Linked DNA regions of Pelodiscus sinensis. The protein of the gene in region 2 interacts with the protein of the main gene of each other region in a biochemical or structural test. Links are inferred from orthologs where the notes say so. Each region holds a gene or a part of one and is shown on either strand. Other genes may lie near its edges.

The links.
Region 1: the proteins of torsin-1A-interacting protein 1 (region 2) and torsin-1A-like form a complex in vitro, tested with the Homo sapiens proteins (2 studies listed by BioGRID and IntAct). The link is inferred for Pelodiscus sinensis from reciprocal best matches to the Homo sapiens genes TOR1AIP1 and TOR1A.

What each region holds. Positions count from the first base shown.
Region 1 is NC_134732.1:12,897,776-12,908,414, forward strand, and holds the start of torsin-1A-like, read right to left. Parts: upstream 4,299-10,639; 5' UTR 4,235-4,298; coding exon 4,030-4,234; intron 3,413-4,029; coding exon 3,147-3,412; intron 899-3,146; coding exon 723-898; intron 633-722; coding exon 505-632; intron 1-504. Other genes in the region: C22H9orf78 (splicing factor C9orf78 homolog), read right to left, coding at 7,602-7,693, 9,637-9,735, 10,338-10,474. UniProt on the Homo sapiens protein: Protein with chaperone functions important for the control of protein folding, processing, stability and localization as well as for the reduction of misfolded protein aggregates.
Region 2 is NC_134719.1:59,450,732-59,461,012, reverse strand, and holds the start of torsin-1A-interacting protein 1, read left to right. Parts: upstream 1-5,821; 5' UTR 5,822-6,031; coding exon 6,032-6,107; intron 6,108-8,822; coding exon 8,823-8,885; intron 8,886-8,946; exon of another isoform or gene 8,947-10,281. UniProt on the Homo sapiens protein: Required for nuclear membrane integrity. Induces TOR1A and TOR1B ATPase activity and is required for their location on the nuclear membrane. Binds to A- and B-type lamins. Possible role in membrane attachment and assembly of the nuclear lamina.

The sequences.
Region 1 (10,639 bases), on a different chromosome or scaffold from region 2:
CATCCTGCAGACTGCTCTGCTGGAGAGCTATAATAGTTTGGGTCCATTGTTATAAGGTTTATTTTTAAGCTACTGTTAAAAATAACTTTGTAACTACACAGCTACAGCATAATAATTTAGGAGGAACATTAACTGACAATCTACACCTTCAATTCTGAAGGGCAAGGAAGGAGAAGGATGTGACATTTATCATGCAGCCTCCAATTAAGAGCCAAAGAAGTCTACCTACTCTCAGGAAGGGACATGGTACTTGCTCAGACACAGTACCACAGATGGATCCTGAAAATAATCCTGCTTAAATTTTTCATGTTGTCTGTTAAAGAGTCAAACTATGTAAAGAGTAGAATATTATGGCAATCCTACCTATGATTACCACTGGGACCATAACAACAAATATTTGTTTCTTTAGATGTTCTCCAAAGAGGCAGTTGGCAAATACCAGAAAGATGCTGAACCACTCAAAGAGAAGGACTTTTAGCCATGGGAACAATCAAAATTACTCACTATTCTTATTGTTGAAGACAGACACAGACAATGAAGCTTCCAAGTCTCTGAGTTCCATGTTTTCCCTTTTTCTTCCCCTTCTCCAGAAATCTAATGCCACATCTGTTATCTTTTCGGCCCCTGCATTGCTGTGTGATGGAGGGAAAGGATTTCAGCTGGATGGGTTTCACAGAGCATTCAGTTTACAGCATTGCAAGGATTTCACCGATGCTCCTCACCTGAGAAAGATGAAGATGGCTCTCCGATAGGACACCCCATCAAGCTGCTCATAATAGTCCAAGAACGGTTTGATGGAATCAATGAGCCCTGCGTGCATTTTATCCATTTCATCAAATATAAAGATTGACCTGGCACAGGCACTCACGTTTCCTCGAATCCAGGACTGCAACTGGTCCTATGTTATACAAAAATAAAGGAGATTGCATATTCCAACTGCATCTGTGTCACCTTGAAGACACGGGAAATGTATAGATCGCTGCTTTTCATTCAAAAGCTGTAACTTCAATTGTGCACCTAAAATTGTGTGAATTTCTTGATTGAAATCTGGTTAAAAGGTCAGCTGTAAAGAATGATAAAAGGAACATAGTAACAGAAATGCATTCTGGTTGTTAAAATAACCTTAACAACCGGAATCTCTCTGCAGGTATCCATGAAAAAGACTATATTTCAAGCCAGTGAATAAATATGGATATGAAGCAACAACCTACCTCGCAAGATAAAGTGAATGCCAGTGGGGAAAATTATTTTCTTTGGTGCTAATAATCTGCAGTCAAGTAGCATATTCCATCCTTAGAACTCAAAACATTTTCCAACATTCATTAGTTGAGTCAGTGAGTGATTACGTGACTTAGCCAAAATAACATAAAAATTACTGGAACAGCTAGGTATAGAACACAGAATCATAACTCCTATTCCTATGCTTTAACCACTGGTAAGTAATCTAACTGCAGGTGATTTTAAATGTTTAAAAAGTGTAGTCTTGTTCAGGAAGGGGGTAATCTTATTTAAATATTTCATTATACAGGCAGTCCTCAGATTTATGACACAGACAATTCCTGAAAATTGTGTCATAAGTCTAAACATCATAACTCAGAACTACAATCCACTCCCTTGCAGGACCAAGCATTATAAAATTGAATTGTGGTGTCAATTCAGAAACATAGGTGCCATTTGTTGTAAGTCAAACATTGTAAAGTTGAGGTATGCCTGTATGGCTCAGGTATTTACCCACTACAGTATTAAAAGTTATGTTTAAGATTAGTAATGAGAAAGGAAAGGAACAGGACAGTTGATATAAAACAAAACAGTGACTCAGCTCATTTTACCAATCTCACAATTATTTGGTCCCTGTACATGGAAAAGGCAGTGTAGGGAAGACTGCGCACTGTCCATTAAGTGAATTTCACATGCTGTTTTTCTTTTTACATGACCAAAGAACATAAAGATCCATTTTCACCACTGCTTTCAGGACTCATTTGGGGCAGGATAATAGAAACCTTTACAAGGGGAAATACATAAACTAGAGAAAAAGTAGAATTCTCCATTTTAAAAGCTAAAACGTTCCATTCTTTTAAGTTTTCAATATGCATACATTTTGTGTTTAAGTTCAAAACACAGTACAAAGTTCACTAATCTGCATACTACTCATTATGTAGAAAAGTTTCATCCTCATTTTGCAGACTGCAGAATAGACTCTTTCACACAACCTAGTGGCAGAATCAGGATTCAAATTCAGGAACACAAGCAGTGGGATTTCCCTAAACTGTGCTGACTCACATATGTACCTGATTAATGTAGCCACGGGTATGTCTTGGCATTTCACTCTTTAATGTATTCATGCTCACAAAAACCCCTGAGAGGGACAAAGTACACCTAGCCCCATTTTTCAGTTGAGAAACTGAGGTAAGGAAAGACTAAATCACATGCCCAAAGATACACAGGAAAACCTGTGGTGGGATATTTGGGGCAGAGAACTGAACCCACGTCCCATGCTGACTTCCTATGTCCTTTCCCTCTGAACAGTAACATGAGAGGCTGCATAAACAATTTTTTAAAAATGTACAGGTAAAATCAGTCCCTAGACATTTGAGCGCAGGTCTCAAACTCCCAACCTGTGAACCATCCCTGGCTGGAACAATTGCGCAATCTGGCCTGAGATTCCTGGCAAGCTGAGGGAGGGGGGCTGTCCGTTACCAGCCCTTAAACCCTACCCTTTCCTGTCATCACCCTGTCATGCTCCTGTCTGCCCCAGGAAATCTGAGGAGACCACTACCACCACACGGCATCAGGTTCCCATAGTGATCCCCAAGCCGTACCCTCAGGGGACAGGGTGCCATCGGAGGGAACATGGCTATTTGGGGGCCTGTAATACACAGACCTCACCACCACCCGGCCCATTGGGAATCTTGTGCCACATTGCACAATTGCTCCTGCTGGGGCTAGCCTGTGGGTTGGGAGATTGAGACCCCTGCATTAGGGTTTCCACATTTGCACTTCAGACTCAGCACACATTGTGTTTTACTGTTTCAGATAAAAAGCCTTCACTCGTTAGTACTACTGATCCCATAATCTTGATAATCTAACAAAAGAGATAACCCACACAATCACACTTAAAATACATCGAGCTCCAAATGCACTCTTACCTTGTACTGGCTAATGCTATGTGCATGGGGAAAATGCAAAGTGGACACAAACTGATGGACATAGTTGCTGTTCAGGCCTCCTTCGTAGATACTCTCTGCTATTATTTTACTGACAAAGTTTTTGCCAGTACCAGTCCATCCATGTAAGGAGAGAGTGAGAGGTTTTTTGGGGTTTGTGTTGTTCAAGAAGCCAATCACAGCTTTCACAATCACCTTCTTCACAAGGTGCTGACCAAATAGTTTCTTATCCAAATCCTCCTGAAGTGCTGAATGAAGGAGACACCAACCAGAGAAGAAGAAAAAAAGGTGATAGGTTTTAATGTTTCTAGGCTGCTTTGGAATGGTGGCCTCTCTGATATCCCAAGGTGCCTAAACTTTGCTCATCCCAGGGCAGCTGCCAGGGGATCAAAGAGCTATCCTGATTAGAATGGAACCAGCACGTTTTTCTTGAATAGTGGAGACTGCAGACCCTGGAATGGGATGCTCTGGATCCAGCTGCCAATCACCATCCCTCTTCCTGTGGAGGGACTCATACCACCAGGTTCCCCTTTTACTCCCGCTCCTTCTGTCTGGAAGCAGCCACACGTTCTTTCATCTCCCCAGCGTCCCCTCCCCCCAAAACTATCAGCCCTCTCCTCTAGTTGTAGCCTCCTACACCCCCTCGGCATGCGCCCTCTAATCTTGCCCTCCCCGCCTTCCTGTCTGCTGCACGAGAGCCAACGACCCAGCTCCGACTCCCTCTCTCAGCGGGCATCTTCCGAGAGGCCGGACCCTTCCCCAGCCTAAGCAGCCCCCAAGCTGAACCCCACCAACAGGGACAGCCCCCAAGCGCCCCCAACACGTACTGACCCCATAACCGCCAGCCCCGCCCCAGCCCACCTACCTGCTCCCGCCCGGGTCCCCTCCCGCTGGAGGCAGCACTCCCTGAAGTAGCAGTAGAGGCGCGGGTAGGAGATGAAGCCGGTGAGCGCTGAGGCGGCAGCCCCGCACAGCGCCAGTCCCAGGCTGATGGGCTCCACCGTCTGCACCGGGCTCAGCAGCAGCGCAAGGCCCAGAACAGCCCCCAGCGGCCCCCGCAGCAGCTTCATGCCCCCTCCGCCAGGCCCCAGCCCGGCCTGTCAGGCGCCACCCTCACCCCGCACAGCCACTTCCGCTTCCGGACTAGTCGCTTCCGGCACCACCATCTTGGTTGAGGGCAGAGGCGTTGGCCAGGGTTGAGGTTGGCGGCGGCCATGTTGGAAACAGGCCGTCACTGTCACGTGACCGAAAGGGCCCGCCCTCTCCCGCGAGATCGCTACTCAGTAGGTGACAGGTTAGCTAGGCAATGACTCAGTATCGCCGTCATGACGTAGCATCCTGCTCCACGTGCCGTAAGACCGTCGGCGGAGCAGGTCGTGACGTAGCTTCCGCGTGCGTGTCCCGACGTGTCCTCGGTGCCCACCCTGCGGCCCTGCAAGCAACCTCCGTCTCCCTGTTCAGCTTGTGGCCGGGTTAGATCACACACCCCAGCTCCCTCTACTCGTTTCCAGACGGGTGCAGATTTCTTCCATCTATGTGCAGGACAAAATATTGTAGGTGCAGGGGTGCATGTGCAAAAGAGCACCGCTACTAGCAACACACAACCCATGTGCACTCTGCTAACCCCCAGCAGCCAGTTTACAAGGAACACTGTTGGAAGGAAGCCTTCTAACACCTATTGGAAACTGCAATTAATAAATAACGGTTTTGTTCTGACTCCTTTGAGTCGCTAGTGCCTGCTGAAAGCTCTTTTAAATCTTCCCTTGCTAAAAAAAAAAAAAAAAAACAATACTGGCACAGTGGTTAGGGGCCACTGTCTCACAAAAAAACAAACACCTCACTGAAGTGGCCCCTCTCTAAGAAGGAGACACTCCCCACATTTCCCTTTCACACCAGGGCTGGGGGGTTGGGAGGGGAAGGAGTCCTGGCTAGTAGATTGTGCACTCCAGCTCCATGGAGTGTCAGCACTGCTAAAGGTGGGAGGGGGCAAAGAGTCCCAAACCCTGGGGGCTGGATTCAGGCAAGCCAGGGGCTGGATTCAGCCCCTGGGCCTTAGGTTTCCCAGCCCTGTTCAAAATACTAGCTAGATGATGTAGCATTGTCATCTCCATTTACTATCTGCATTTATTTATTTTTTTTTATATATAAACACAGCACTTAAGATACTGTTTAGTATTTATGGCTAGTCATTTTTTTTTAAATGGTGCAGGAACTTGCCGTCGCTTTTGCTTAGCCATAATATTTCACTGTTCTAACAAAACTATTAGATGAAAGGTCACATGGTCACAAAACTTTCAAGCCCAGGGACCGAAACTCAATCATTTCCCCCATTTTACAGATGACATTAAGCAGAGATGCACAGAGGCATTAAACAACATGTTCCAGATCACAGTCTGTCAGTGACTGAATCATGAAACTGCACAGTGAGGCTACATCTACACTGTAATGCTATTTCAGGATAGCAGAGTATCCCGAAATAGCTATCCTGCATCTTAAGAGGCTTGCTCTGCTGATGTCCCAGTAAACTTCATTCCACAAGGATGTTTCAAAATAGCAGTTTATTTTGAAATTTGGTGAGGTGTAGACGTAGCCTGAGTAGCAGCCCTCAGCAGTGAATCTCAGTCTGCCAACCAAAACTCTTGTTTGTGGGCTTGTGCTATAGTGCTAAAAATAGTACAGATGTTATAGCCCAAGCTCCACCCTCAGCCAAGATCCAGCCTGAGCAAGCATCTACACAGCTATTTTTAGTGCAATAGCAGAAGCCCAAGTCATCCAGGATCTAAGACTCCCTCATATGAGCTATGTAAACGTACCCTTAGTCAGATGTTTGAAGTGCCAGACAATATTACCTCAACTATTTTCATAAGCTAGCCTTTTTGATTTGTAGCATAGATTTTACATTTTTGTTTCATGTTAATTTTATTTGAAAGGTGTCAGTCCAACAGTACTAAGGACAGAAATTCTTAAAACAGACGGCACTCCACTCTCAATGCCTTGTTCACACATTGCCTTTTTACACTGATATTGTCAATAATCATGCTAGCTGTGGGTGAGGGTATTTTCCGTGATATGAGCACTCCTTACTAACAACTGGACCAAGAAAAAAAAACTTAGCTGTTGACTTGGTTCAAATATCAGCTAGGAACAATGCTCAGAAAATACTTTGGTTGACACCTCCATGAAGATTGAGCAGATAAATGTCTATATGCTAGTATCAAACTCCTGACCCTACCACTACCTTTAATATTGTAGACAAGCATACAAACCAGCATTTTAATTTTCATTGTTGTACATTTCACTCAGATTGATTGACATGATACGGAAGATTTATGAAAGCATTCAACAATGTTGGTTACTAAAGCACTGGATGTGAGCTGACTCATGTTCCCAAGTCTCACGACAACAGCTGCTGATCCTTGTTTTAATTCAATAATTTAATCAATTTCATACAAACTTAGACTTGTTTAGGCTAATATTTAAGTACATACAAGCAGCACAGGATGAATCTAGTGTGCCCATTACTGAAATAACAGAATTGCAAGAATGACAGGTTAAAAATGTTATTTATTTTTTGAAAGTTCAAACTCCATTTCTCAACTTAATTTATATTAATTTCTGGAAATATGGTGTTTTAACATCTGAGGGTTTTTTGGTTTTTTTTGATAGGGATAATGTAGGATTTCATATCAGAAAGCCAAACAAAAATTGAAAACAATCTACTGATTTCTCTCCTCCTTGGCAACTGAAATAAAACACTCATTGCTATGGAAACACAAACACACACAGGGGACAATTTAAAAATCTCAAAAACATTCACAATTCAGGCACCTACAGCAACTGCTGTATTTCCTTATACTGAAGATAAGAAATCCTGCCAAATTGCAATCCCTGCAGAGTAGCATGTGTTCAAGATCTTACATGGTACCCACTCTAACAGGAAAAGAAGCTGACTCCTGCTGTGTGCTTAACAAATTCCTGCAGTATCTTAGACCCACACACTGCATACAATTTAAGCCCTTTGGAACTATCAAGAAGAACCTTCTTATGAAATTGCTTTGGAAGTTTGACCTGGAAAACCAGCTTTAAACCTGTACTCCTTGTTTACGGGCTAAAAACATTTCAGTCTTTAAAAGATCTTTTTCAAAGTGGAAAAAAAAAAATCTATGAACAAGGTTGACATTATGCTAAAATAAATGTCAAGCAGGAAGCCAACATATTTACAAAGGAAAGTTTATAACAAAATAAGTTATACACAAGTCACCACAGAGAAGGATGATTTCACAATCACCATGCAACTAATTCACTACAAGTTTACTGTGAGAAAAATCTTATGGGTAACATTAAAAAAATGGATACGAAGCCATCCCACAGAGTTATTTACACAACACCTTTCACTTAAAAGCTCCAGCAAAATGTTCAGCCCATACTGAAGAGATTTCAATAGCGTCTGTTCATCTTCTTGAATTTCTCATAGTGGTAATCATCTGTTGCTTTCTCATTGGGTGGACGCTTGCGATTTGGAGGAGACCCTTCAAAGGAGAGAGAGAGGGAGAGAGAGAGAGAGAGACACATACACACACTTTATTTCCTATTCTTTAATAAATAGGATAGCGCAGGAAAAATTATCCTCATTCACTTCCCAAAGATTTAGTCTAATGCCCTTTAAACCAGCTGGCCTGCAAGCACTCTTACTATTTTACACTCTTGCCTTCAACAATGCCAAAATTCTTCAGACTTCATTCTTCCAAATCCTACTCACTCTCCCCCAATCCATTCCAAAACAGTTTTGCCCAAAACACTTAAAAACCGTACCATTTACATTCCCCCATTACTCCAGCCTTTGTGGAGCAGAGACTGTTAGCTCTCCATACCACGGCTGACTACACACCATTACTAAGGAGTCAATGGGTTATTTTCAACATCCTGACCCTTCACCTATAACAGGAGATAAGTCATAAAGCAACATGGATGGAAGTTGTATCTATTAGGGAGCACATCAAGAATTGCATTTCATCACTTTTCCTTTGAAAATCAAAGGCAAATCACTCTACAAGTCTTTCCCACCAGCTCAGGACACCATGCCTTATAGCAGGGGTGGGCAATCATATTTGATGGGAAGGGGTACTCCAAGGCTGTGTCTAAACTACATCCCTTTTTTGATAAGGGGATGCAGATTAGGCACATCGATATTGCAAATGAAGCCGGGATTTAAATATCCCGCGCGTCATTTGCATAATGGCAGCTGCCGCTTTTTTCCAAAACAGGGCTTTTTCAAAAGAAAAAAAAAACAAAAAACGGACAGTTTCATTTCGAAAGATCCTGTACTCCTCAAAAAATGAGGAGTACAGCATCTTTCAAAATGGGGCATTTCTGTTGAAAATGCCCCATCTAAACTGCTGTGGTTTCTTCCCCCTGTCCCTCCTGAAAGAGCCCCATTTCAGAAAAAAGCAGCAGTCGCCATTATGCAAATGAAACACGGGATATTTACATCCTGCACTTCATTTGCAATATCGACGTGCCTAATCTACATCCATTTATCGAAAAAGGGATGCAGTTTAGACACTGCCCAAGAGTTTGGAAAGTGGTCAAGGGCAGTACTTTTCTATGATATTAATGGAGGTGGTGTGGGCTCTGGGACCGAAGCTGGGTACAGGAGGGAGCTCTGGTTGAGGACTGAAGTGCAAGAGGGATGAGAATGGAGTCTGGGAGGGAGTTTGGGTGCAGGAGAGGATTCTGACATGGAGGAGGGATGTAGGAAGGGGGTGCAGGGTCTGGGAGGGTGTTGTGACCAGGGGAGGGGGACAGAGGGTTTGGGTTATGACCTGGGGCAAGGGTGCAGGACAGGGTGCAGAGGGTTTGAGTTGTGACCTGGGGCAGAAAGCAGGGGTGCAGGCTCTGGCTAGGAGGTGCTTACGTTAGTGGCACCTGTCCAGCAGCCCAATGGGACCCTTAGGAAGGCTCTCTGAGCAGCATGTGGGGGCGTGGTGGACAAAGCGGCTGTCTGCTGGGGCCAGCGTGTGCTCTCTGAGTGGTGCACCCCTTGGGGAAAGGCGAAAGTGGGTCTCTGTGGGCTGTACGTGCCTGCAAGTACAGCCCAGGCAGTTCACATTGGTTGGAAATCACCTGTTGGGAGCTGCAAGGATTGTGCTGGGGGAAGCACACGGAGACCCCTCCCAAGGGGCACGCATTGCACAGATATGTGCACACTGGCCTCAGCAGCCAGCCACTTTGTGTGGCATGTGAGGCTGCAGCAGGCAGGGAGCCTGCCCTAAGGTTCCACTGGGCTGGGAGGATATTGGTGGCGGGCGGGCTGGATCTGAATGTATGATGGGCCAAATCTGGCCCACGGGCTGTATTTTGCTCACCCCTGCCTTAGAGGGCTAGAGGAGAAGATTATATCTGTTCATGGATCTTGGATAAGGAAGAATTGATACCTCCAATAAGCTAGCCATGCTTTGTGTTTAGTACTCACGCTCAGGTTCTGGCTTCTCTGTATCCCCCACTCTCAGTGGTCGGGCTTTTGGTTCTTCTTTATTCCTCCTCACTGGTGCACTCAGTTCCTCATGATAGACTGGAAGGAGACACACCAAAGGGTGAAGTTTAGACAGCAGCATTGCTCAGATGTAGAATCACAGAAATGTACAGCTGGAAGGGAGCTCAAGAGGTCATAAGAACATAAGCTGGCCATAACAGGTCAGACCATTTAAGCCAGTATCATGTTTTCCCAACAGTGGCCATTGCCAGGTGCTGCAGAGGGAATAAACAGAACAGGTAATCAAGTGATCCATCCCTGTCACTAATTCCCATTTTCTGGTAAACAGAGACTAAGGACACCATCCCTCACCATCCACGCTAATTGCCACACATGGACTTATCCTCCATGAAATTATCTAGTTCTTTTTTTAACCCTGTTATAGTTAGGGTTGTCAACATGCATATGTTCCAGAGAGGTAAGCCAAGTTAGTCTGTAACAGGAAAAGCTTAAAAAACAACAAATAGTCTAGTAGCACTTTTAAGACTAACAAAACATGTAGATGGGATCATGAGCTTTCAGATACTTCTTCAGATACACGATTAACCGATAAGCCTGGTCTTATCAGTTAATCCTGTCGATTACGCGCATTTGCTCACTTCCCGCCCCCCAGCTGCTGCCTCTGTTTCCAAGATACTCACATCGGTTGTGCTGGACGTAGTTCACAGCCATGTTTGTGGGAACAAAGGAAGTTTCACTGTCTTTCTTTTTGTTTTGCTGCTCTGCCAGCAGCCTTGCCTTGGCGTCCTCAGTAAAGATTATGTTTTTTATTTTTGCACTGAAAGGGGAATACAGTGAGGAAGAGAATTGTTTATACACTGCAGACAGAAAGAGGCCTGGGGCCCTATATACCAAAATACACAGTAGAGCAATTTTATCTACGAGTGAGTGAACGGACAGTTACATGTGGGGGGGACAGCAATTGCAGTTGTCTTTGATTTGC
Region 2 (10,281 bases):
GGATGGGACACTTAAGAGGCATCATAGACTGTGCTGGAGGATGCTCGAAAGATGTGGATGCTTGTATAGCAGCACCTGCTGCCAAATGTGCCCTTCAGTGGTCTTTGTGGAGACGCCATGACATCAAGCTTGCTACGAAGTTGCAGACTTAATAGAACTAGAGTTACACCAACTTTATTGTACAGCAGAGAAGCAGGGCACTATGGAAGACTGAAGAGAGTGGATTGATTGTTTTGATTCGTCATCAGCTGCTCCATAGTAAGTGGCAAACCAAGATCAACAATGAGGATACTCAGAATTAAACCCAGCAACTGTATCTTTCAGCCTAGGTGGCTTCCTGGGTGCCGACCTATTCTTAGGATGGAAGGCCAATTAACAGAATTACAGCAGAGGGAGAAAGTATTAAGAGGCATAAGACAAGGGAAAAAGAGGTGATTTATGTAAAAGCAAAGATTTATGTACAGCACTGGCACAATGGGAGCCTGATTTGGTCTGGACCAATAGTACTACATAGTACAAATGACAAGTAATCTGTGGTTGCTTTTTTTTTTTTTTTTTTTTTCAATTACACAGGCCAGTGTAAAACAGCAAGTAGGAAAGACAAATCAGAGAAGCCAAGATTTATTAGGTTTTTTTTTCTGGAACCCAAACCAGCCCCATTTAGAAAATAAATTGTCCCGTTGGCCTTCCTGACATATGGCCACATTATTAAGCTAGCCTTGTACAAACTAGGCTCCAGGGTCGAGCAGCTTCAGTGTAAAAGGTGGAATTTTTCAAATGTTATAACTTGGGATATAATATTGCTACATGCATTTTCCCATGATGAGAGGTCTTAATTTTTAAATTATATCTCACAGGGCATATTTTGTGCAAAGATTATTACAGTAGCGTTTAGGGAGAGAATACAGGAGTACATTTGATCACACATACTTGAAAATATAAAGCTAAACAGTTTTTGAATTACTGGCAATTATAACTATTCTAATTGGAAATGTTGGCTTGTCTAATTTTGTCTCCCTCTAGCAAAATTACAATTTTTCACAATCCGTTGGGGGTGGGGGGGGGGGGGGGGGTTGCTAGGTGTATATATTGTCGCTTAGCAATGTTAACTTTTTTAAAGCAAAGGTTTTTGGATTTTATTTTAGAAATATAACAAGCTAGAAAAGGATCAATAGATCACTTTGTATCACAGAAGTCTGCTTGATTACACAGAGCGTATCTTGAAATGCTGCTTTTCATTTACAGTCAGTAACCACATAATTTAATTCTTGTAAAGCCCTTGGAGACTTTTGGATGAAGGTAAAATGGAAAGATTTTACCTGCACATTTACCGGATGACTGAAAGATTACGAATCAGTCATTTACTAGCTCTTTCTATCTGACTTAAATCAGAATAAATAGCTCTGTGGACTTTAAAACATCTCGATTAGGTGATTATCTCTGTAACACTCTGTTGTGCTGCTTAATGAAACATAAAGCTCATCTTATTTGCTCTCCTATTCCATCTTAAAAGAATGACAGTTCATACATTTGGGCCTGGCACAGAAGGCATGCATAATTTACGTAACACATTTTCCCTTGCTTCTAAACAAAATTTGAACTTCAAGAGAACACTTGTACAACACTATTAAACATTTTTTTCTTCTTTAATAAACATCAGACTTGAGAGGTAGAGAGGCTAGGAAGTGAGAAAAGTTGTTGTCCCACATTCTTACGAAGTGCTCAGAGCATGTCCGTGTCTCCTTAAATAATTTACAATGTTCCAGGATGAAAAAAAAGGCATCAGCCTAAATAAGATGGACTTTGCTGTAGGAATGAGGTGCTGTCTTCCTCCCTTCCCCCAGTCCCTCCCAGGTTTAGTAAAATAAAAACCCTTTAGGACCTCTTCATTTTATAGTTAAATCAGCCTTGCCTAAATCATTTGTATATACGTTGTGTGCTGTATTTGCTCAAATCTATATGAGAAAAATAAATCTAATAATGATCGTCAGCACCCTCCTTAGGTGGTTGTGGAGCCTGGAACAACACCCTCTCCTCCCCCCACAGGGCCAGCCCACTACATTTTGGCAACTGCGGCGGGGAGTTCAAATGATGCCCCCTTTTCTCCTGCCTGCCTGTTGTCTCTTGTGCCCTCCTTCCTCCAGCACATCACTTCACCATCTCTGTGCATCTAGAGTAGAGAGAATACATCTGCACCAGCAGCAGACACAATTTTCTACACTTTGGGTTCTAGTGGCGCCCCCCCCCCCCCCCCCCAGTCTGGCACCTGAGGCAGCCGCCTCAGTTCGCCTCATAGTAAGGCCAGCCCTGCCTCTGCCCCTGCCTCCGTCCCCACTCCAACCCTCGTCCCTGCTCCACTCCTCCCCCACCTCTGCCTGAACCAACACTGCCTCCTCCCAAGCAACATGGCCTGGGGAATTACTGGGGGGCCATTACCCCCCTTGTACTCCTGTGGTGGTGGGAAGCAGAATAACCTGGCCCTAGCCTGCTCTACTCCCTGGCTACGTCTTCACTAGCACCCTTTTCCGGAAATGCTTAAAACGGAACAGTTTTCCGTTTTAAGTATTTCCGGAAAAAGCGTGTCTACATTGGCAGGATGCTTTTCTGGAAAAGCACTTTTTCCGGAAAAGCGTCCGTGGCCAATCTAGACGCGCTTTTCCACAAAAAAGCCCCGATCGTCATTTTTGCGATCGAGGCTTTTTTGCGGAAAACACTACTGTGCTGTCTAGACTGGCCCTTTTCTGGAACAGTTTTCCGGAAAAGGACTTTTGCCCGAACAGGAGCAGCATAGTTTTTCCAGAAAAGCACTGATGATTTTACAGTAGATCGTCAGTGCTTTTCTGGAAATTCAAGGGGCCAGTGTAGACAGCTGGCAAGTTATTCCGGAAAAGCGACTGATTTTCCGGAATAAGTGGCCAGTGCAGACACAGCCCCCGAGCCCAGCTTCAAGCCCTGTTGCTCAGGAGACTGGAGGAGGTTAGGACTCTGGCACCTACTTCCGCCTAGGAGATGGCGAAGCAGAGCGTGCTGAGGCTGGACTGCTTCGCTTCCTGTGGCTCCCACGCTCCCTGGTGAGTACGGGGCTGGGCCCGACCCTGCTACTGTCCCAGAACCCCTGGGTAATCACCGAGGCTGCCCTGACATCATAGGGTTCCCCAAAATGCAGGGCTCGGGGCCACCCCAACCATTCTATGGATGAGATAGCTCTGATGATCTTGAATTTACATCATATCTTGTATCCAGATTGATCCCAGATAACATTATATGCTGTACTTGTAAACCACCCTGGGTGCTGTGTGTCATTAAAAATTGTATTTATAAAAATCAAACTTCCATACTATTTGTTACAGGAAAGGAATAATTAGAACTGTTGATTAATCATAGATAACTCACACAATTAACTCAAAATTAATCACAATTAAAAATTAATTGTGCTTAATCACACTGTTAAACAACAGACTACCACATGAAATGTATTAAATATTTTGGATGCTTTTTTAAATTTTCAGATATATTGATTTGTATTATGACACAGAATACAAAGCGTGCAGTGCTCACTTTATATGGTTACATTTGATTACTATCATTGGCACTCTAAAAATGATAATAGTATTTTTCAATTCACCTCATACAAGCACTGTAGTGCAATCTCTTTATCATGAAAGTGTAATTTAAAAATGTAGATTGTTTTGTTGCATAACTGCACTCAAAAACAAAACAATGTAAAACTTTAGAGCCTACAGATTCATTTAGGTTGAACAAGAGGTAGAACTAACGCAAAGAAAAGCAAGTTTTTTTACATCTATGGGAGATACTGCTACCAGCTTCTTATTTCAGAGGACCTCCTTCCATGCTTATGATGGATTCTGCTTGATAACAAGGTTTCATATTATTTTATTTTTGAATGCTGTTACTTTTTGTACATAATTCTATCTTGGTAAGTTAAACCCCCACGATAAAGAGATTGCACTACGGTACTTGTATCAGTTGAATGAAAAATACTATTTATTTTGTTTTTTTACAGTGCAAATATTTTAATAAAGTGAACACTTTGTATTCACTTTGTATTCTATGTTGTAATTGAGAGCAGTATATTTGCAAATGAAGATAACATCCACAAGTATTTAAATAAATGGTAAACTTAAAAAACAACCAATAGTTTAGCAGCACCTTAAAGACTAACAAAACATGTAGATGATATCATGAGTTTTCGTTGGTACAACCCACTTCTGCTGTTGTACCCACAAAAGCTCATACCATCTACATGTTTTGTTAGTCTTTAAGGTGCTGGTAGGCTGATTGGTTTTTTTAAAGTTTTTCCAGTTACAGACTAACTCAGCTACCCCTCTGAAGCTAAATAAATGGTTTTCTATTATTAACAACATAATTAATCACAATTACATTTTTAACCAATTGACAATCTTAGGAAAAACAATATATACATTTATGTTAATTTCATTGTTTTTAATCTCATAACTCTTTTGCACAACATATTAGTGATTTGCAATCGCATCAACCCCCACAGGTAGATATTTCGTTAATCCCATTTTATGGCAAAATTGAAGTACTCCTAGGCACCAACCCAAAAAATGCTTATATGTAGAAGTTGCTACATATATGTGAGTAGCTCCATTGACTTTAATGGGGCTTCTCATGTGAGTTGGGTTTAGTGTGTGTGAAACCGCTTGTTCAAGTACAGGCAGAAAAGCTATGACAAAAGCACTCTGGACTCCCAGTCCTTTGCCTGTCTCATTGCCTTCTCCCTGCTTGTGGCTGTAGCTTTTCCATTTCTCTCAAAGGGCCATGTGGAGACAGGTCAATTTCACTTTTGTTGCTAGTCACTTTCATAGCCCATTCCTCCCAAGCTTGTTTAAAACAAACTATGGGGACCAACTGAGAAGCTTCCCAGAACCATCTCCCTGCCCCCAACTATCATAAGTGCTAGACTTTCCAAAGCTACATGTGGGGGGCCCTGTTGGCCAAGAGCCTCCAGCAGCACTGCTGGGACTGGAGGAGCCCGTTTTAAAACCTATTTCAGAGGCTAGAGTGCTGCAAACTCTTAGGGCAAGGAGCTATCCTGCTTCCACCTCCCCAGAAATCACTGGGGCAGCAGCTCCCAGTGTCCCTTTTCAATTGGTGCTGGAACTAAGGGCGTTGGTGCACCTCCCAGGGCCTGAAGTGGTTTTCATCCCATCCAGGGTTTACACTTTGCTTCACTAGCTCTCAGCCCCCTACCCCACTGCGCAAACTCCTCGCCCCTCGCTTTGCCCCTGCCGCCTGGAGAATGGGGCTAAGGCAAGTCCACGGGAAAGGGGACAGTGCCAGCCCCTGCTCTGTGGGAGAAGGGGACAGAAAGCGAGGGAGGGAGAGGGGAGAAAGGGGGGATAGAGGGGGCGGGGGCCAGAAAGGGGGGAGGGAGAGGGGGCGGGGACAGAAAGGGGGGAGGGAGAGGGGATAAAGGGGGTGGGGACAAAGCGGGGGAGGGGAAAAGTGGGGATAGAGGGAGCAGGGACAGAAAGGGGGAGAGAGAGGGGGAAAAGGGCGGATGGGGGGCAGGGACAGAAAGGGGAAGGGAGAGGGGGGAAAAGGGGAATGGGGGGGCGGGGACAGAAATCGGCCGGGAAGGGAGGATAGCGGGGAGGGGGTAGAGGGGGCGATAGGGGGCGGGGACCAGCCCCAGCTGTTGACAGCTGCGGGGCAGAACAGGGGCTGAGAGCTAAGCAAAGAGCGAGCGCAGCTGTGACACGGTGCTGTATCACGTGACTTCCAGTCCAGCGGGGAGGGCTCGCGGGAAAAGCCCTGCAAGAGAAGCGGCCCTCCCCGCAGACTTCCGCCCTTCAACATGGCCGACAGGAAGTGAGGCTTTCAGGAAAGCGAAGCCAATCACCTAGTTGCGACGGCAGCGGCTTCCGCCCCGGAAGAGCAAGGGCGTGTCCGGACGGAAACGCGGCCGGCGGGGGAGGCGTTCCGCGCGGCGGGAGAACGCGCCGAGAGCCGTCTCGCGCCTGAGCTCCGGGCAGCCACCGCCGAGATGCAGACGCGACGAAGAGCCGCGGCCGGGGCCAAGGAGCCGGAGCCCAGGCGGCGGGGCGCCGAGGCCTCGGAACGTGAGTGACTGAGGAGCCGTTGCTGATCCCGCGACGCGCCCTCTGCTTGAGGGCGCAGGGGAGGGGGGACCCCGACGAGGGGTGGCCGAGCCCCCCTTGGGGGAGCTGCCGCGCTCTGCCCCCCGCTGCGGGGCGGGGCCATCGCCGGGGGGGTTTCCTTGCCCCGCGCCCGGCTTCTCCTGGCCGTTAAACGGTTCCCTTGAGACCGTTGCCAGCTGAGGCGGGCGGGGGGGCCGAGGGGGCGCCCGGGCTCTACCATGTGACCGGCCCATCTGACCAGCAGGCACCTCGGGTTTAGGCAAATTAGCCTCTGAGGGGCCGGGGCCGGGCGGCTCTGGAAAGCGGCCTGACAGCGGCTTTGTTTTGCGCCCCGCTTCGTTCCCTTCCGCTCCCTGCTGCGTCCGCGCGGGCAGCGGGTGGCGCCTGTTCACCTCAACTGGAAACAGCCCCCCGGGCTCCGGCAGCTCTGTGCAGACTCCCCGAGCGTGGGGAGGGGTCGCGAGCGTTCGTGGGCGCAGCCCGGGTTGCTATTCCACGTGTTACTGTTGAGCAGGCAGGGAAGAGATGTGGCCCGAGCTCAGTCAGCCCGGGCGTCGTGCTGAGCATTTTCCCACTCGATTGTCTATAAAAATCGTTAAGGAATCTACATGGAGCCGGTTAAGTTGTGCATTGTGCCACGTTCGTCTTCAGTGGGCCCCAACGCGGAGCCCGTGGGCGCCATGGCGCCCGCCGGGCCATTTATGTGCACTTGCGGAGCAATCTGGGCTGGCCCCGCCCTGGGCGTGCGGCAGGTGTCAGCCCCGGGCGCATGGGTGACCCCTGCCCGGGGTCGCAGCACATGCCAGTACTGGCCCCAGGCACACAGCACCTGGGCAGCCCCTGCCCGGGGTCACGGCACATGCTGGTGCCGGCCTGGAGCGTGCGGCGCATGCTTGGCCCCGCCCCCAGGCACGTGGCCTGTGAGCAACCCCGCCCCCGTAAGCGCAGCACGTAAGCGGCCCTGCCCCCAGGCGCCCGGCAGCCCCAAAATGTTGGGAACCCCTAGTCTTAGTTGTCTTGCCCCAACATAATTTTGTGTCTAAAGTCAGTTACAAATAGACCAGTGAATTGTATTTATCAAATAGCTGATACGCATTAGCTTCCATACAGTACTTACTCATTTAACATGTGCCCACTTTACACGTTTTTGCAATAGCACGATTTTTTTTAGGGAATGTTTTTCAAATAACACAACCGTCCTCGAAATAACAGGATAATAATCAAGTGGCAGACTACTTCACGCTGCGGTATAAGTTGGTGAAAACAGTGATAATACGCAGGGCTCGACAATTAGTGTAATCTACTTGCCTGTGGCAAGTAGATTACAAGCCCGCGCAGTACGCCGCTCAGCACAGCTGGTGAGGGGGGTTCACCGCCGCTTGGCGAGCCCTGGTAATATGCATGAACGGATGAATACACGTGGTCACAGCGCTTCTCTGCTCACTCATGTGTCTGTCTATCTTTGTGTTTTAACAAACCACAGTGACTTGTGTTGCTAGATATCTAATGTTGACGACCCAGCACTAACAAAAAATTGACTTTGCCACCACTGCCTGAAATGCAACCTCCACCTTTTACATTATTTTTAATGGGAAAATTTACCCCGCATAGCACGTTTTCTCTTAGCCTGAACATTTTCAGAAACACATCTATAGTGTTAAATGAGGGATTACTATACAGCTTTAATGTATTTTTAAAATGAATCCCCTAAAAATGGGAATGACACAGATGAAGTTGCTTGTATGCTGTCGGTTGAATTTCACTCTTGCTTTATTCACTATGCACCAAAGACCAAATCTTGCTCTAGTAGTATTTCATAGTAAATTGGAAGCATGGCATTTAGCTTTACTCTATAGCTGTGGTAACGGGTATGCAGGCCTGCCTTACTTCCACAGAAATGTGAAGTGCTGTATAACTTCCTGCTTCTACAGAGTTCTTGAGTGGTGCAGGAGAAGGGGCTACTCTGTACTTGCTCTCCTGCAAAGCTCTTCACGTTGACAGAGAGGCATTTCACACCTCTTTGAAGCGTTGTTTCACTCTCTTTGCTGAGTTTGCCAAGCTTCATTGGGTCTCTTTTCAGCTAGCTCACAATTTCAGTGTTCTCTGTGCAACCATAATGGGTGGAGACTTTTTTGTAGGGTTTTTTTTTGTTTGTTTAGTTTAGTTTCTGGCGCACAAGGTCTCAGAGGGGTAGCCTTGTTAGTCTGTAACTTTAAAAAAGCCCCGAATAGTCCTGTGGCACCTTAGAGACTAACACAAATATATAGATAGATAGTATCATAAGCTTTCATGGGCAAAACCCAGTTCTGATTACAGCAACCAAGGCAGAATACCAGGTCACCAATCTAGGGTGACCTGGCTTGAACTTACCATTGCTATTTAGAAGGGGTATATCTTCTACTTTTATTTTTACTTCCATTCCTCTTCCTTTCTGGTATCTATTTCTTCTCCTATCCTTACACTTTTAAATTAAACAAAAAAGCTTCAGTTGAATTATAAAGCTTGTGCATTTGAATATTTGATAATTCGTTCATGTGGTTGTAGGAGTGATTTTACTAGTGCTTTTATAAACTGAATAACAAATGAATTTCCTGACACTTGTTTTTATTGATATGTGCACACTATTTTACTGGCTTGTTTCTAAAATGCTTTTTTTTTTCTATGTATGTTTTGAAGCATCTGTATACAGAAGACAAATGACCAACAAAAATGACAACAGGCAGAAACGCTTGATAGACGGTAACAGTGGGCTTTCTTTCCTTTTCTTTCGCCAGTTAGAGGAAATCTTCTCTTTCCAGATAGTATGAACTGATACCAATTATAAATTAGCATATCAAAACATCTACAATACACTGTTTCAACAACTTAACTATGTGCAGAGAATGCAAAGTAATACTAGACTTCACTCTGTAGTATTACATAACTTCAAATACTTAAGAGACTACTAGATTTTAAATTGCCGTTACATAGTGAAGGCACTGTTGTGCCCTTTCAAAGAATTTCTGTAAAAAGGACTTTTGCAAGGAGATGAGTAGGAGTTTTATTCAGTTACTTCTGTATAGTCTCCATTTCTGATTAATAAAAATAGAATATTACAAACACCGAGGTTCCTTGGGTCCCAGCATGTAGTTTAGATACAGCCAGATAACACCTGTGTATATATATAGGATTTTACTTGGTCAAAGAAAACAGTATTTATTGTTCTCACAGTGCCGTATTCTTGAATCAAAGATTGGTTTCCCAATTCATTGGTGTTCAGTTATTCCATATGGTTAGGAATTAGGAGGATGGTACTGCCAAACAATTTTTTTAGGACTTAGTATCTTACTTTTATTGATCTCTGGGCTCTTTGATGCTTTAACCTCTGTAGAATTGAGGGATTGGGGGACTGCACTTCCTCTTTAGCTCCTCAGTGACATCTGGCAAGTGTCATGGAGCCTGATCGTTGATTCTTTTGGGTTGGTCTAGGAGCAGATTTTAGGCAGGAGCAAACTTTGCTTCATTTATAGAAGTTTAGTCCAACTGACCTGGTGAATCACTTCAAAGTGTGTCCTGTCTCAGTCCCTGTGATAGAATCAACTGTTGTCATTCATTCAGGATTGAATTCTGCCGGGCGCGTACCATTTTTGACCTTCAGGTCCAGAGCATTGGCCAGTACCCCTAAACTGAGTGACTGCCTGCAGAAATAGATTGTCATCTTCTATGTAGATCAGCTGTTAGAGGCTGTCAAGGCTGTTCCCCACTCTGGTACTACGAATGCAGAAGTGGGGGCCTGCAAGAGCACTCCAAACTTTTGCTTCTGCAGTTTCCAGTTCAATAAACTCCTCCCCCCACCTCCGAATCCTAATACCCAGATTTTGGGAAATCTGCTGCCACCACCCAAGTAATTCCAAGAAAACCAGGGAGGAGATCACTTGGGACACCTCCTCCCTAAGGTAAAACTCTCCTCTGCCCCGTTTTACTTGGAGTTGGGAAAACAGAGGGGATTCACCAACAACAATGGACTCTGCCCTTATAACTAGGCACTAAGTCAAAGGACTCAATAATCCACCAATTCCAGTTAATTAGAAAAAAGAAACAAACGTTTATTATCAAAACAAAACTACAGTTACAAGCATAGTAAAGTGGCTGGATG